3 linked regions of the Macaca fascicularis genome follow. The protein of the gene in region 2 interacts with the protein of the main gene of each other region in a pairwise test. Links are inferred from orthologs where the notes say so. Each region holds a gene or a part of one and is shown on either strand. Other genes may lie near its edges.

The links.
Region 1: the proteins of REEP6 (region 2) and PTPN9 interact in binary tests that used the Homo sapiens proteins (3 or more experiments, as listed by UniProt). The two-hybrid records come from large-scale screens. The link is inferred for Macaca fascicularis from reciprocal best matches to the Homo sapiens genes REEP6 and PTPN9.
Region 3: the proteins of REEP6 (region 2) and SNX15 interact in binary tests that used the Homo sapiens proteins (3 or more experiments, as listed by UniProt). The two-hybrid records come from large-scale screens. The link is inferred for Macaca fascicularis from reciprocal best matches to the Homo sapiens genes REEP6 and SNX15.

The regions. Positions count from the first base shown.
Region 1 is NC_088381.1:52,800,116-52,803,859, forward strand, and holds the start of PTPN9 (tyrosine-protein phosphatase non-receptor type 9), read right to left. Parts: upstream 2,150-3,744; 5' UTR 1,455-2,149; coding exon 1,392-1,454; intron 1-1,391. UniProt on the Homo sapiens protein: Protein-tyrosine phosphatase that could participate in the transfer of hydrophobic ligands or in functions of the Golgi apparatus.
Region 2 is NC_088393.1:2,086,499-2,090,242, reverse strand, and holds the start of REEP6 (receptor expression-enhancing protein 6), read right to left. Parts: upstream 2,626-3,744; 5' UTR 2,544-2,625; coding exon 2,429-2,543; intron 1-2,428. Other genes in the region: PCSK4 (proprotein convertase subtilisin/kexin type 4), read left to right, coding at 3,485-3,673. UniProt on the Homo sapiens protein: Required for correct function and survival of retinal photoreceptors. Required for retinal development.
Region 3 is NC_088388.1:9,343,397-9,347,040, reverse strand, and holds part of SNX15 (sorting nexin-15), read left to right. Parts: intron 1-1,645; coding exon 1,646-1,681; intron 1,682-1,909; coding exon 1,910-2,030; intron 2,031-3,644. UniProt on the Homo sapiens protein: May be involved in several stages of intracellular trafficking. Overexpression of SNX15 disrupts the normal trafficking of proteins from the plasma membrane to recycling endosomes or the TGN.

The sequences.
Region 1 (3,744 bases), on a different chromosome or scaffold from region 2:
TTTAAAATCAGCCAACACGTCCTATGTTAGTACTGAAGTACTTTCCAATTCTGGCAGGATGGGCTCCATGGCCACCTGCTTGCACTAGGGCCTGACTAGCATTTTATTAACATCCAACTGCAATTACCAGGACATTCATTACCACTGCTTGTACAAAGCAGAATTCTCTTTAAATTTTTTTCCCATACTGATTTCATCACCAGGTGTCAAAAGGCAAAACCGTGGCCTGAGGCCAAATAGAAAAATGTCATCTCTACAAATGAGGAGAAAAGACAAGGACTTTAAAAAATCAGGTCAACAAGCCCATTAGCCAATAATAGTTTGTAAAACTAGACTGTCTTCACACTAGAGGCTGTGCTAGCAAATGTGGTCCTTGGAAACAACGGCTGTAGAGCTTGAAATGGGTTGCCAGCATGGTTTGCCTTTTTCGTTTTTCATGTTTATTTTTATTTTTTTATTTATAACATGGAATCAGACTATGACTATAATGGAGCATAGCTATGGCGGGGTATAGGCACTGCCAAGGAAGAGACAGCGAAAAGCCCGTAGGGTTCCCAATCTAAGCTAGCAGACCTTCCCATCTTCCTCAGGAGTGGTCCCTGTCTCTGCAGCTGGAATGTGCGGGAGGGAAAGTTACAAGGGCCCCCAAAATGAGACAGCAAAACACTTCCTTCTGAGAACTAAAGGTCATAGGCTTTTAAGGAACAATAGAGCTCAATGTAAGCTTCAGAAAGATGATGACAGTCAGATGAGACGGGGGTAGGGAAGCAGGGGTGAAGAGATGCTCCCCGTCTGGGATAGCTGAATAGGAGAGTCAAGGCCAGGAACTTTAGAAGCACGAGAAGGGCTGGATCTTCCAGAACCTGCCCCAGTGGGCCTGAGAAACCTAAGAGGCTCCTCTGAAAATCTAGGGCATCTATGCATCCAATACTCTCAGCCCTCTCCTCGGGAAGGGAGATAATCCCCACAGGAAGCACCCCCCAAACTGGGGCTTTTCCTACCCTTCAAAAGCCACAAACCCTCACGGAAAACATTTACAAGGGAGTGGAAAGGCCGGGGGCAAGCAGCGGTTCTGCAAACCTCAGGAAGGAGGCCCCTGGATCCAAAGAACTTTGCCCCTGGAATGGGGGGTGGGGTAGGGAGGGCACCGTCTGAGGCCCGTAAGCCTCGGGGAAAGAAGCTGCAGGAACTGGAGCAGGGTCCCGTGGGTGCACTGACGAGGGGGTGGCGGCCTGGGGCGCGGTCGCCGGTGAGGGAGGCCCGCGGGCCGGGCACGGGAGCGGGGGCGCTGCGGGCCCGTGGCTGCAAAGAGCCGGGGCTTGGGAGGCAGAGGCCGGCGTAGGCCTCGGGGGCCCGGACACACCCACCGTGGCGGCCTCGGGCCCGCTTACCTGCTCCTCCTCCGGGGTCAGCTCCGGCGCCATGTCGGGCCGGGGCGCGGTCGCGGGCTCCATCCCCCAGCCACCGCCGCCGGGCGGACAGAACTCGCTCGCGAGCGCGGGAGCCCGGCACGCTCGGCCTCCGCTTCCGCGTCCCCGCGCCTCAGCAGCCCCGGGCAGGCTCGAGCATGGTGGGGCCGGCCAGGGCCCGGCGCCCGCAGCAGCCGCAAACGCCGCTTCTGCTTCTTTAAGAAAAATCTCTCCGAACTGCCCCTCTCTTCCGGGAGGAAATCCTTTTTTATATTATTCGCTCCTTTCCTCACACTCCCCCTTATCTCCTGGGGAAGAAAAAGTGCAGGCGAAGAGCTAACAGCCGCTCGGGATTTAAAAGGAAATCGGAAATCAGGAACTTTTAGAGCCGGGAGCGAAGGGTCGGCGGAAATTTCACGAAGGCCGCCGGCCCCCTCGGCGCCCCGCTTCCTCGGCCGCACTCCCGCTTCTCCACAGCGCCACAGCACTCGGGGCCGCCCAGCCGGGCCGTCCTCGCGGACGCTGGCCCTGCGACCTGCGCGGCTGCCTCAGCCAGGCTCCTTGCGGGCGGCCGCAGCGAGAGGGAGGGAGCGAAGAGGTAGAGGGAAACGCGCCCCCCTCCTGGCTCACGGCCAACGCTGCGGCCGCCCCGCGGCCGCCCGAGCCCCCCGCGGCTCCATTGAGAAACTGAGCGTCTCATTCACAAGCTGGTGGCGAGGAGGGCCCAGCGGAGCGAGGACGCCGTCCGGGAGGGGGAGACAGAGAGGAGCCCGGGCGGGGGAGGGGACCCGGGCGGGGAGGGGACCCTAGCAGGACGGAAGGCGACTCGACTGCGGGAGGGAGGAAAAGGAAGAAAAGAGTGTATTTCGTGAGGCTCAGATCTTCGGAGGAGGAGGAGAATACATTCGTTTGCAAATTATCTGCTGACTGGCACCTCTCCTGGGGTTAACTTGCCGCTGCCACCTACGCGTGAGAAACCCACAATCCTCATCTATTTGTCGCTTGCAGCCTGAAAGACCCTGGAAAGGTTGCCTGCCAGGCCAGGAAGCTTAGGTGGAAGGAATCGCACCTGCCTCCCTCTCTCTCCCTCCTTACTGGCTGTATCCTGTAATTCTTCTCCAGTGTAGTTAATGTTAATCCCCCACAGAAACATCAGACTCCGAACCTCATTCAGGAATGACGCGGCCTTTGCAGACCTTTGATTTTCACTAGGGCAAGTGCAGCAAAGGATTCAGGATTAGGTGTACACTCTTGGAATCATTTGGGGAGGAATGGGGCATAGAGAAGGCAAGGCTGGGTCTAGTATGTTGTTGCATTATTCCAAGCCAAAGATAAATATTCCAAAGGGACTCAGAGAAGTCCACAACTAGTTCCAAGGCTGAAGCCCTGGAGCCAGTCCTGTGAGAGACCCAAAGGAGGGGCCTTCACACAACAGGAGGGTGCTGTGAGTTGTGATGCTCCCACGATTTTTTTTTCTTTTTTCTTTTTTTTTTTTTTTTTGAGACTGAGTCTCACTGTGTCGCCCAGGCTAGAGTGCAGTGACGCCATCCCGGCTCACTACAACCTCCGCCTCCCGGGTTCAAGCGATTCTCCTGCCTCAGCCTCCTGGGCAGCTGGGATTACAGGTGCGCGCCACCACGCCCGTCTAATTTTTGTATTTTTAGTAGAGACAGGGTTTCACCATGTTGGTCAGGCTGGTCTCGAACTCCTGACCTCGTGATCCGCCCGCCTCGGTCTCCCAAAGTGCCAGCATTACAGGCAGGCGTGAGCCACCGCGCGCCCGGCTTTTTTTTTTTTTGAGACGGAGTCTCGCTCTGCCGCCCAGGCTGGAGTGCAGTGGCCGGATCTCAGCTCACTGCAAGCTCCGCCTCCCGGGTTCACGCCATTCTCCTGCCTTGTGATCTGCCGGCCTCGGCCTCCCAAGGTTTCTTTTTTTGTTTTGTTTTGAACAGTGTCTCACTTTGTTGCCCAGGCTGGAGTGCAGTGGCGTGATCACAGCTCACTGCAGCCTCAAAGTCCTGGGCTCAAGCAATCCTCCTGCCTCAGCCTCCTGAGTAGGTAGGACTACAGGTGCACACCACTGCACCTGGCTAATTTTTTTTTTTAAATTTTTTGTAGAGATGGGGGTCTTGCTATGTTGCCCAGGCTGGTCTCAAACTCCTGGTGAACCGCCTTTGCAAAATTATAACTGAGGATTTTATGACAGTGAAAGAAATCAGACCTGACTCTATCTTGCTTCTAACCCTTAAGCTGTCCTTGTTCATTCCTGGGCATAGGCCGAACTAACTTGGGGAAGGAACTCAGTTCATGGTTTGACTCTGAAACAAAATTGATA
Region 2 (3,744 bases):
ATTCCTGACCTCAGGTGATCCGCCCGCCTCGGTCTCCCAAAGTGCTGGGATTCCAGGCGTGAGCCGCCGCGACCTGCCCTTCTCCACATTTATTAAGTGCCTTCAGGCAACAATAACACAGTCCCAGCAAGGAGGGTGTTCAGAGAAAAAGGTGTGTGTGTCCAGCTCAGCCCCAATCCTGAACCTGGCTCTGAAAAGAATGATGACGACAGCTGCATTTATTAAGCGCCTATTGTGTGCCAGGTTTTGTGCTTTCCCTGAATTATCTTATTCAGAACTGGGGGTGGGTGGGTGTTGCCCAAGGTCACACAGGGAACCCCCGTGCTTCAGAGAGCTTGGACAGCCTCCTTCCTCCTCCCCTGGAGCTGCTATCTGCAGAGTGAGATAGAGGCTGCTTCCGGACCAAAGGGCAGAGGCCCAAGTCCCTCCCAGCCCCTCCTACCTGCTTTAGTCTTTATCCACAAGCACCTGAGGTCACGGGTAGGCGGAGTCCCCCAGCTGGGAGGCTGTGTGGCCTCCCGGTCACTGTCTCCTCTGAGTTTCTTCGTATGTTACCCAGGGGTGTGGGATTTGTCGATTTAAATGAGGTGGGAGAAGGGGGATGAGGGAATGCTACCTCTCCCCAGGCCTGGCTTGTGGGGAGGAGTGACTCTCCCAGGGTGTCCCTCCCTTAAATCCCTGTTCCTGCAGCTTCAGCAACGGGAGGATGACCTTGGACATCAGAACTGTGGAGGGGGGCCCAGCCCCCACGATTAGCAGCAGATGGGACTGGGAGTGGGCGGGGTGGAGGGGTGTACGCCTCAGACACAACAGGCGCAGAGGAAACTGTGCCTCAGTTTCCTCTCTGGTGACACAGTGCCCCAGCCAGCCCCTCCCTGCTGCCTGCCTCCTGGGCGCTCTGTGACCTAAATTCCTGCCCACTGGCCCCAGGGATGTGGAAAGGGAGGGCAGAGGCCAGGGACCTGCTCCCGGGGGCAGGCACAGCCAGGCCATGCCCATGCCACCTGCTGCACTGCACATGGGACCAGGCACCTGGGGACCTCCAGGGTCTGGACACAGATTTCAGACTGTTCTCAGGCTGCCTGGCATGGGAACCCCCAGATGGTGGGAAAATGGAGGGGGGGACTGGACTCCGGGGATCCACCTGCAGAAGGTGCTCAAAAAAGTGGCACTGTCCTCTACCCAGAACACCCCAGGCCCAGATCAAGTCCTTTCAAGTCATTCTGCGGAGCTTCCTGGAAGAGAAGGCAGAGCCAGTGGGGCTGGGAGCAGTGGCTCCCACGTAAATCCCAGAGCTTTGGGAGGCTGAGGCAGAAGGATCGCTTGAGCCCAGGAGTTTGAGACCAGTCTGGGTAACATAGTGAGACCCTGTCTCTTAAAAAAGTTAACTTTAAAAAGTTTTAGGCCAGGCAAGGTGGCTCACACCTGTAATCCCAGCACTTTGGGAGGCTGAGGTGGGCGGATCACCTGAGGCCAGGAGTTCGAGACCAGCCTGGCCAACATAGTGAAACCCCGTCTCTACTAAAAATACAAAAATTAGCCGGGCATGGTGACCTGCGTCTGTAATCCCCGCTGCGCAGGAGGCTGAGGCAGGAGAATCGCTTGAACCCAGGAGGCAGAGGTTGCAGTGAGCTGAGATTGCACCACTGCACTCCAGCCTGTGCGGCAGGGCAAGACTCGATCTCAAAAAAAAAGTTTTAAAGGTGGGGAGAGAGGCATTTAAGGAGCGCTTACTACATGCTCTTGCTGTAGTTTTGGAAAGGCGAAGGGGCGCGGCGTCACCAAGGGTGAAAGGCCCGGAAGAACTGTAATGGAGTCACAATCGGGGTGCCTGGATCTCCCGCTCTGTGGGCCCCAGTCCAACCTCCCCACATCACAGCTGTCAGACAACCCAACTCCGTCTTAACAAATATTTACGCGCGGTGGCACTAAGCCATTGAGCGGGGCAAGGTGAGCTAGGGCAGGAGAGGAGGAGGAGAGGAGAGTCCTGAGCAGCCCCCCGGGACGGTCCGTTCCCCTCCCCGCCTGGAGCCTCCCCTCGGAAAAACGGGAAGATCTCCACTGTTGCAGCCAGGTCGGGGTCCACGGGGGGAGGGGGACGGCGAAACGTGCAGGACACTGGCATCCTGGCCTCTCCGGGGCCACTGGGCAACTGGAAGAACCGGACTTCGGCATGGCAGGCACCCAGCGCCCAGAAGGAGGCGGCGGGGGACGGCCAGGGATGGAAGCTAGAGAGGGGTGGCTCGGGAGCAGGGTCGCAGGGCGCGGGCAAGGGAGGAGTTGCGGGTGGACCTCGAAGTCCCGGTCACCCCGCGCGCTCTACGAGCAGGACCGGACCCCGTAGCCGGGGAGGGAGTCAGACCTGCGACCCCCGGGCCCATGGCCTCAGTGTGCCCGTTGGCGAAACGGGCTAGCGCCGACGGCTCACCTGCAGCCAGATACCGCTTCTCCAGCCCGGTCTTGGCCTCCAGCGCCCCCAGCACGTCGGTGACCAGGTTCCTTTGCTCCAGGAAGCGCTCCACGCGCTGGCTCAGGCCGTCCATGGCCCCGACGCGCCCGGGGTTGGCTGCTCGAGCTCGCCCGCGGACCCGCGCACCCACTCCGCTGCACGCGCGCCGCTTTCCCGCAGCCTGAGCCGCGCTGCTCCGGCCCGGCGCCGGTGTCCGCCCCCGGCCCCCCGCCCGGACCAATGGGAGGGCAGGGCGGACAAAGGAGGTGGGGCCTGCCCCGTCTCCCCCGCCGCATAGCCCTCCGCCCGCTGCCGCCGCTGCCCAGACCCCGCCGGGAGAGGGCGGGGCGCGCCGGCCCAGGGCACCGATTGGCCGGGCCAGAGCGAGACGTAGCTGATTGGAAGGGCGGCGTCAGGGGACGGGATTATTGGCTGCGACACTGAGGGGGTGGAGCCAGGGCGATGAGAGGCGCGGGTGGGGGCGGAGCCGGTGGGTGGGGCTAAAGAAAAATCCGAGCCGATTGGAGAAACGGGACGCGATTCATTGGCGAGAGCAGTGGAGGGCGGGGCTGATCACAAAGGAGGCAGGTTGGAATGGTAGGGGCGGGAACGGGGCGGGGCTTATCGGGGGAGGCGGGATTACTCGAAAGAATGATTCTGATTAGCCCGGATAGGAGGCCGGGCTGATTCTCGAAGGAGGGGTGTGTTGGAAAGTGGGCGAGGCCAAAGAAAGGGTAGGACGCGTTACTGCAACAGTGAACCCGCTTCTCTGGGTTAGTCTTGTCGTTGTACAAATGGGAAAACTGAGGCTCCCGAAGGTGTGGGTCTGCGGGAGACGGGCAGGCGTGCGTCCCTGCCCCGCTTCTGTCAGATCTTCGCGCCCGTCTTGGCTGAGTAGCCGCAAGGCCCCCTGGGAGTCGAAGCCTTCCGCGTTGCTATGGAGCCGGGGGCTGAGAGGACGCCTGGGTCCACTCGGCGGTTTGGCGGGAGGGAGGGGCTTTGCGCAGGCCCCGCCCCCGGCCCCGCCCCGCCTCCATGCGGCCCGCCCCGATTGCGCTGTGGCTGCTCCGGGTCTTGGCCCTGGCCCTCGTCCGCCCCCGGGCTGTGGGGTGGGCCTCGGTCCGAGCCCCCATCTATGTCAGCAGCTGGGCCGTCCGGGTGTCTCAGGGTAACCGGGAGGTCGAGCGCCTGGCACGCAAATTCGGCTTCGTCAACCTGGGGCCGGTGGGTGGGACCGGGATGGACGGGAAGTGGGGGCGTGGAAGGGACTAGAGGACCCTAGACCCCGACAAGTG
Region 3 (3,644 bases), on a different chromosome or scaffold from region 2:
AATAGTTTCTTTTACCAGAATATTTTAGGCAAGTCTCTGTTGTCAAAAGCCAAGTCCAAAGTTTTAGTTCCAGCAATCTTTCTTACCTAGTGTGTGATCTTCTATGGCCACACCTCTCAAAGCCTCTATTTCCTTATCTCTTAAATGGGCATGTTAATTGTGTCTGCCTCAGTGGGATCTAGGATAAGGAATAGATGTTTTTATTTATTTATTTAGTGTGTAAGAGACAGGGTTTCACTCTGCAGTCTGGAGTGCAGTGGTGTGATCTCAGCTCATTGCAACCTCTGCTTCCCATGCTCAAGTGATCCTCTCACCTCAGCCTTCCAAGTAGCTGGGACTACAGGTGTGCCACATCACCACACCCAGCTAATTTTGTGTATTTTTTGCCGCTATTGGGTGTCACTATGTTGCCCAGGCTGGTCTCAAACTCCTGGACTCAAGTGATCTGCCCACCTGGGTCCCCTAAAGTGCTGGCATTACAGGCTTGAGCCACCGTGCCTGGCATAGGATATATTATTAAACTGTCAAGTACCCTAAACCATAGGGCATTATTTTAAAATTATTATGAACATAACATGATGAAAACTGAATCTCGTTTTCACTTCAGACCCAAGTCTGCCCTTCCAGAGACCTCAGCTCCAGCGATGGTTTCTTCTGTGTCCAGGGCGCTGAAGCACAGGACCTTCTCCCTCAGGGAAGGAGGTTCCTGAGGCAGAACCTCCCTTCTTTTTTTTTTTTTTTTTTTTGAGACGGAGTCTCACGCTGTTGCCCAGGCTGGAGTGCAGTGGCGCGATCTCGGCTCACTGCAAGCTCCGCCTCCCGGGTTCACGCCATTCTCCTGCCTCAGCCTCCTGAGTAGCTGGGAATACAGGCGCCCGCCACCGCGCCTGGCTAATTTTTTGTATTTTTAGTAGAGACGGGGTTTCACTGTGGTCTCGATCTCCTGACCTTGTGATCCGCCCGCCTCGGCCTCCCAAAGTGCTGGGATTACAGGCTTGAGCCACCGCGCCCGGCCAGAACCTCCCTTCTTTGGAGACTTGGGGTTCTTTGGTTTCAGAAGGAGATGCAGGGCCATTGCCTGTTCAAGGAACCGGGATAAAAATTGTGCTGATGGCCGGGTGCTCACGCCTGTAAGTGTGAGGCCGAGGTGGGCGGATCACTTGAGGTCACGAGTCCAGACCAGCTTGGCCAACATGGTGAAACCCCATCTCTACTAAAAATACAAACATTAGCAGGCGTGGTGGTGCATGTCTGTAATCCCGGCTTCTTGGGAGGCTGAGGCAGGAGAATCGCTTGAACCTTGAAGGCAGAGGTGGTAGTGAGCTGAGAGTGCACCACTGCACTTCAGCCTGGGCGGCAGAGCAAGACTCCATCTCAAAAAAAAAAAGTTGGGCTGAGGTTGGAGCAGTCCAGACGGGCCTTTAGAGGTCCTTCTATTTGACAGATGGAGAAACTGAGGTACATAGTAGGAAAAGTTTCTAAAATTATATGGAAAGGCTTAAAGCCAGGATGCCTTGAAGCCAGAGGCCAAAGGCCAAAGGCCATTGCCCCATGAGGGGGACTGGGAGGCACCTGGGGCAAACAGGGTGAGAGGGTGTCAGATGGCGGTCTCTGGTCTCAACCAGCTCTTGCCTTTCTTTCTCAGTTCATCTCAAAGAAGGACCCAGAGGATGTCAAAGAGGTGAGGCTCCTGGGAGGAAGAGGGCCCATTCTGCAGTTCCAGATCTGGAAACTGTCAAGGGGCAGCTGGTAACTCTGCTTGGACACCGGCCCTCCTTCCTCCCTGTCCCTGGGCAAGGGGCTGCTGCAGCTGCATCCTGATCCTCACCCACCCTGGGGGCAGGCTGGGCACCGGGGGCGGCTGCCTCCCACCATTGCCGGTTCTGGGCAAGTCTCATGTCCCTCGTAGGTGGTGGTCTGGAAGCGGTACAGCGACTTCCGCAAGCTGCATGGAGACCTGGCCTACACCCACCGCAACCTCTTCCGCCGCCTTGAGGAGTTCCCTGCGTTCCCCCGGGCCCAGGTGTTCGGTGAGTGTTAGATCGGGGCACTCAGGCCAAAGATGAAGGGAGCGTTGGACAAAAGGGGACCTCTGCCAGTGGGGGCTGGATAGAGAGGGCCTGAAACTCTGGGCAGAGACATGTTTGGAAGGGCTTTTAGAGATGACCTCATTTGACAGATGGGGGAACTGAGGCTCAGAGCAGCCTAACACTTACTGTGTATTGCACCTTTTAACATTCCTGTTGGGCCAGGCGTGGTGGCTCACACCTGTAATCCTAGCACTTTGGGAAGCCGAGGTGAAACTCCATCTCAAAAAAAAAACAACAAAAATCCTGTCTTTATTAGCTCTATTTTATTTTCCTTTTTTTTCAATTTTTTGTTGTTGTTGACAGCCTCTCTTTGTCACCCAGGCTGGAGTGTAGTGGTGTTATCTTGGCTCACTGCAACCTCCACCTTCCAGGTTCAAAGGATTCTCCTGCATCAGTCTCCTGAGTAGGTGGGATTACAGGTGCACACCACCATACCTGGCTAATTTTTGTATTCTTAGTAGAGACGGAGTTTCATCACATTGGCCAGGCTGGTCTTGAACTCCTGACCTCAGCTGCTCTGCCCGCCTTGGCCTCCCAAAGTGCTGGGATTACACACCTGAGACACTGCACCTAGCCTATCTCAATACTTACTATATTGATTACATGTTGCAGTGAGAATATTTGGGATATATTGGGTTAAATAAAATATTAGCCGGGCGCGGTGGCTCAAGCCTGTAATCCCAGCACTTTGGGAGGCCGAGACGGGCAGATCACGAGGTCAGGAGATCAAGACCATCCTGGCTAACATGGTGAAACCCCGTCTCTACTAAAAAATACAAAAAACTAGCCGGGCGAGGTGGCGGGTGCCTGTAGTCCCAGCTACTCGGGAGGCTGAGGCAGGAGAATGGCGTAAACCCAGGAGGCGGAGCTTGCAGTGAGCTGAGATCCGGCCACTGCACTCCAGCCTGGGCGACAGAGCGAGACTCCGTCTCAAAAAAAAAAAAAAAAAAAAATTAAAATTAACTTGTGGCTGGGCGTGATGGCTCACACCTGTAATCCCAGCACTTTGGGAGGCTGAGGCAAATGAATCACGAGATCAGGAGTTCGAGACCAGCCTGGCCAACTTGGTGAAACCCTGTCTCTACTAAAAATACAAAAAATTAATTGGGTGTAGTGGCGGGCGCTTGTAAACTCAGCTACTCAGGAGGCTGAGGCAGGAGAATCGCTTGAACCTGGGAGGCCAAGATTGCGTCGTTGCAGTCTAGCCCGGGCGACAGAGTGAGACTCCGTCTCAAAAAAAAAAAAAAAAAGTTGTTTCTTTTTTCCTTTTATTTAATGTAGCTGCTAGAAAATGTAAAATTGCATATGTAGCTCATATCTGTATTAGACAGTGCTGAACAGTTGCTCGCGTCTGCGTACTCACGTGAGATGTTCTTTGTTGTTGTTGGTTTTTGTTTTTGTTTTTTGAGACAGAGTCTTACTCTGTCACCCAGGCTGGAGTCCTGTGGCATGATATCAGCTCACTGCAAACTCTGCCCTCCCAGGTTTGAGTGATTCTCCTGCCTCAGCCTCCCAAGTAGCCAAGTAGCCTCCCAAGTAGTGTGCGCCACCACA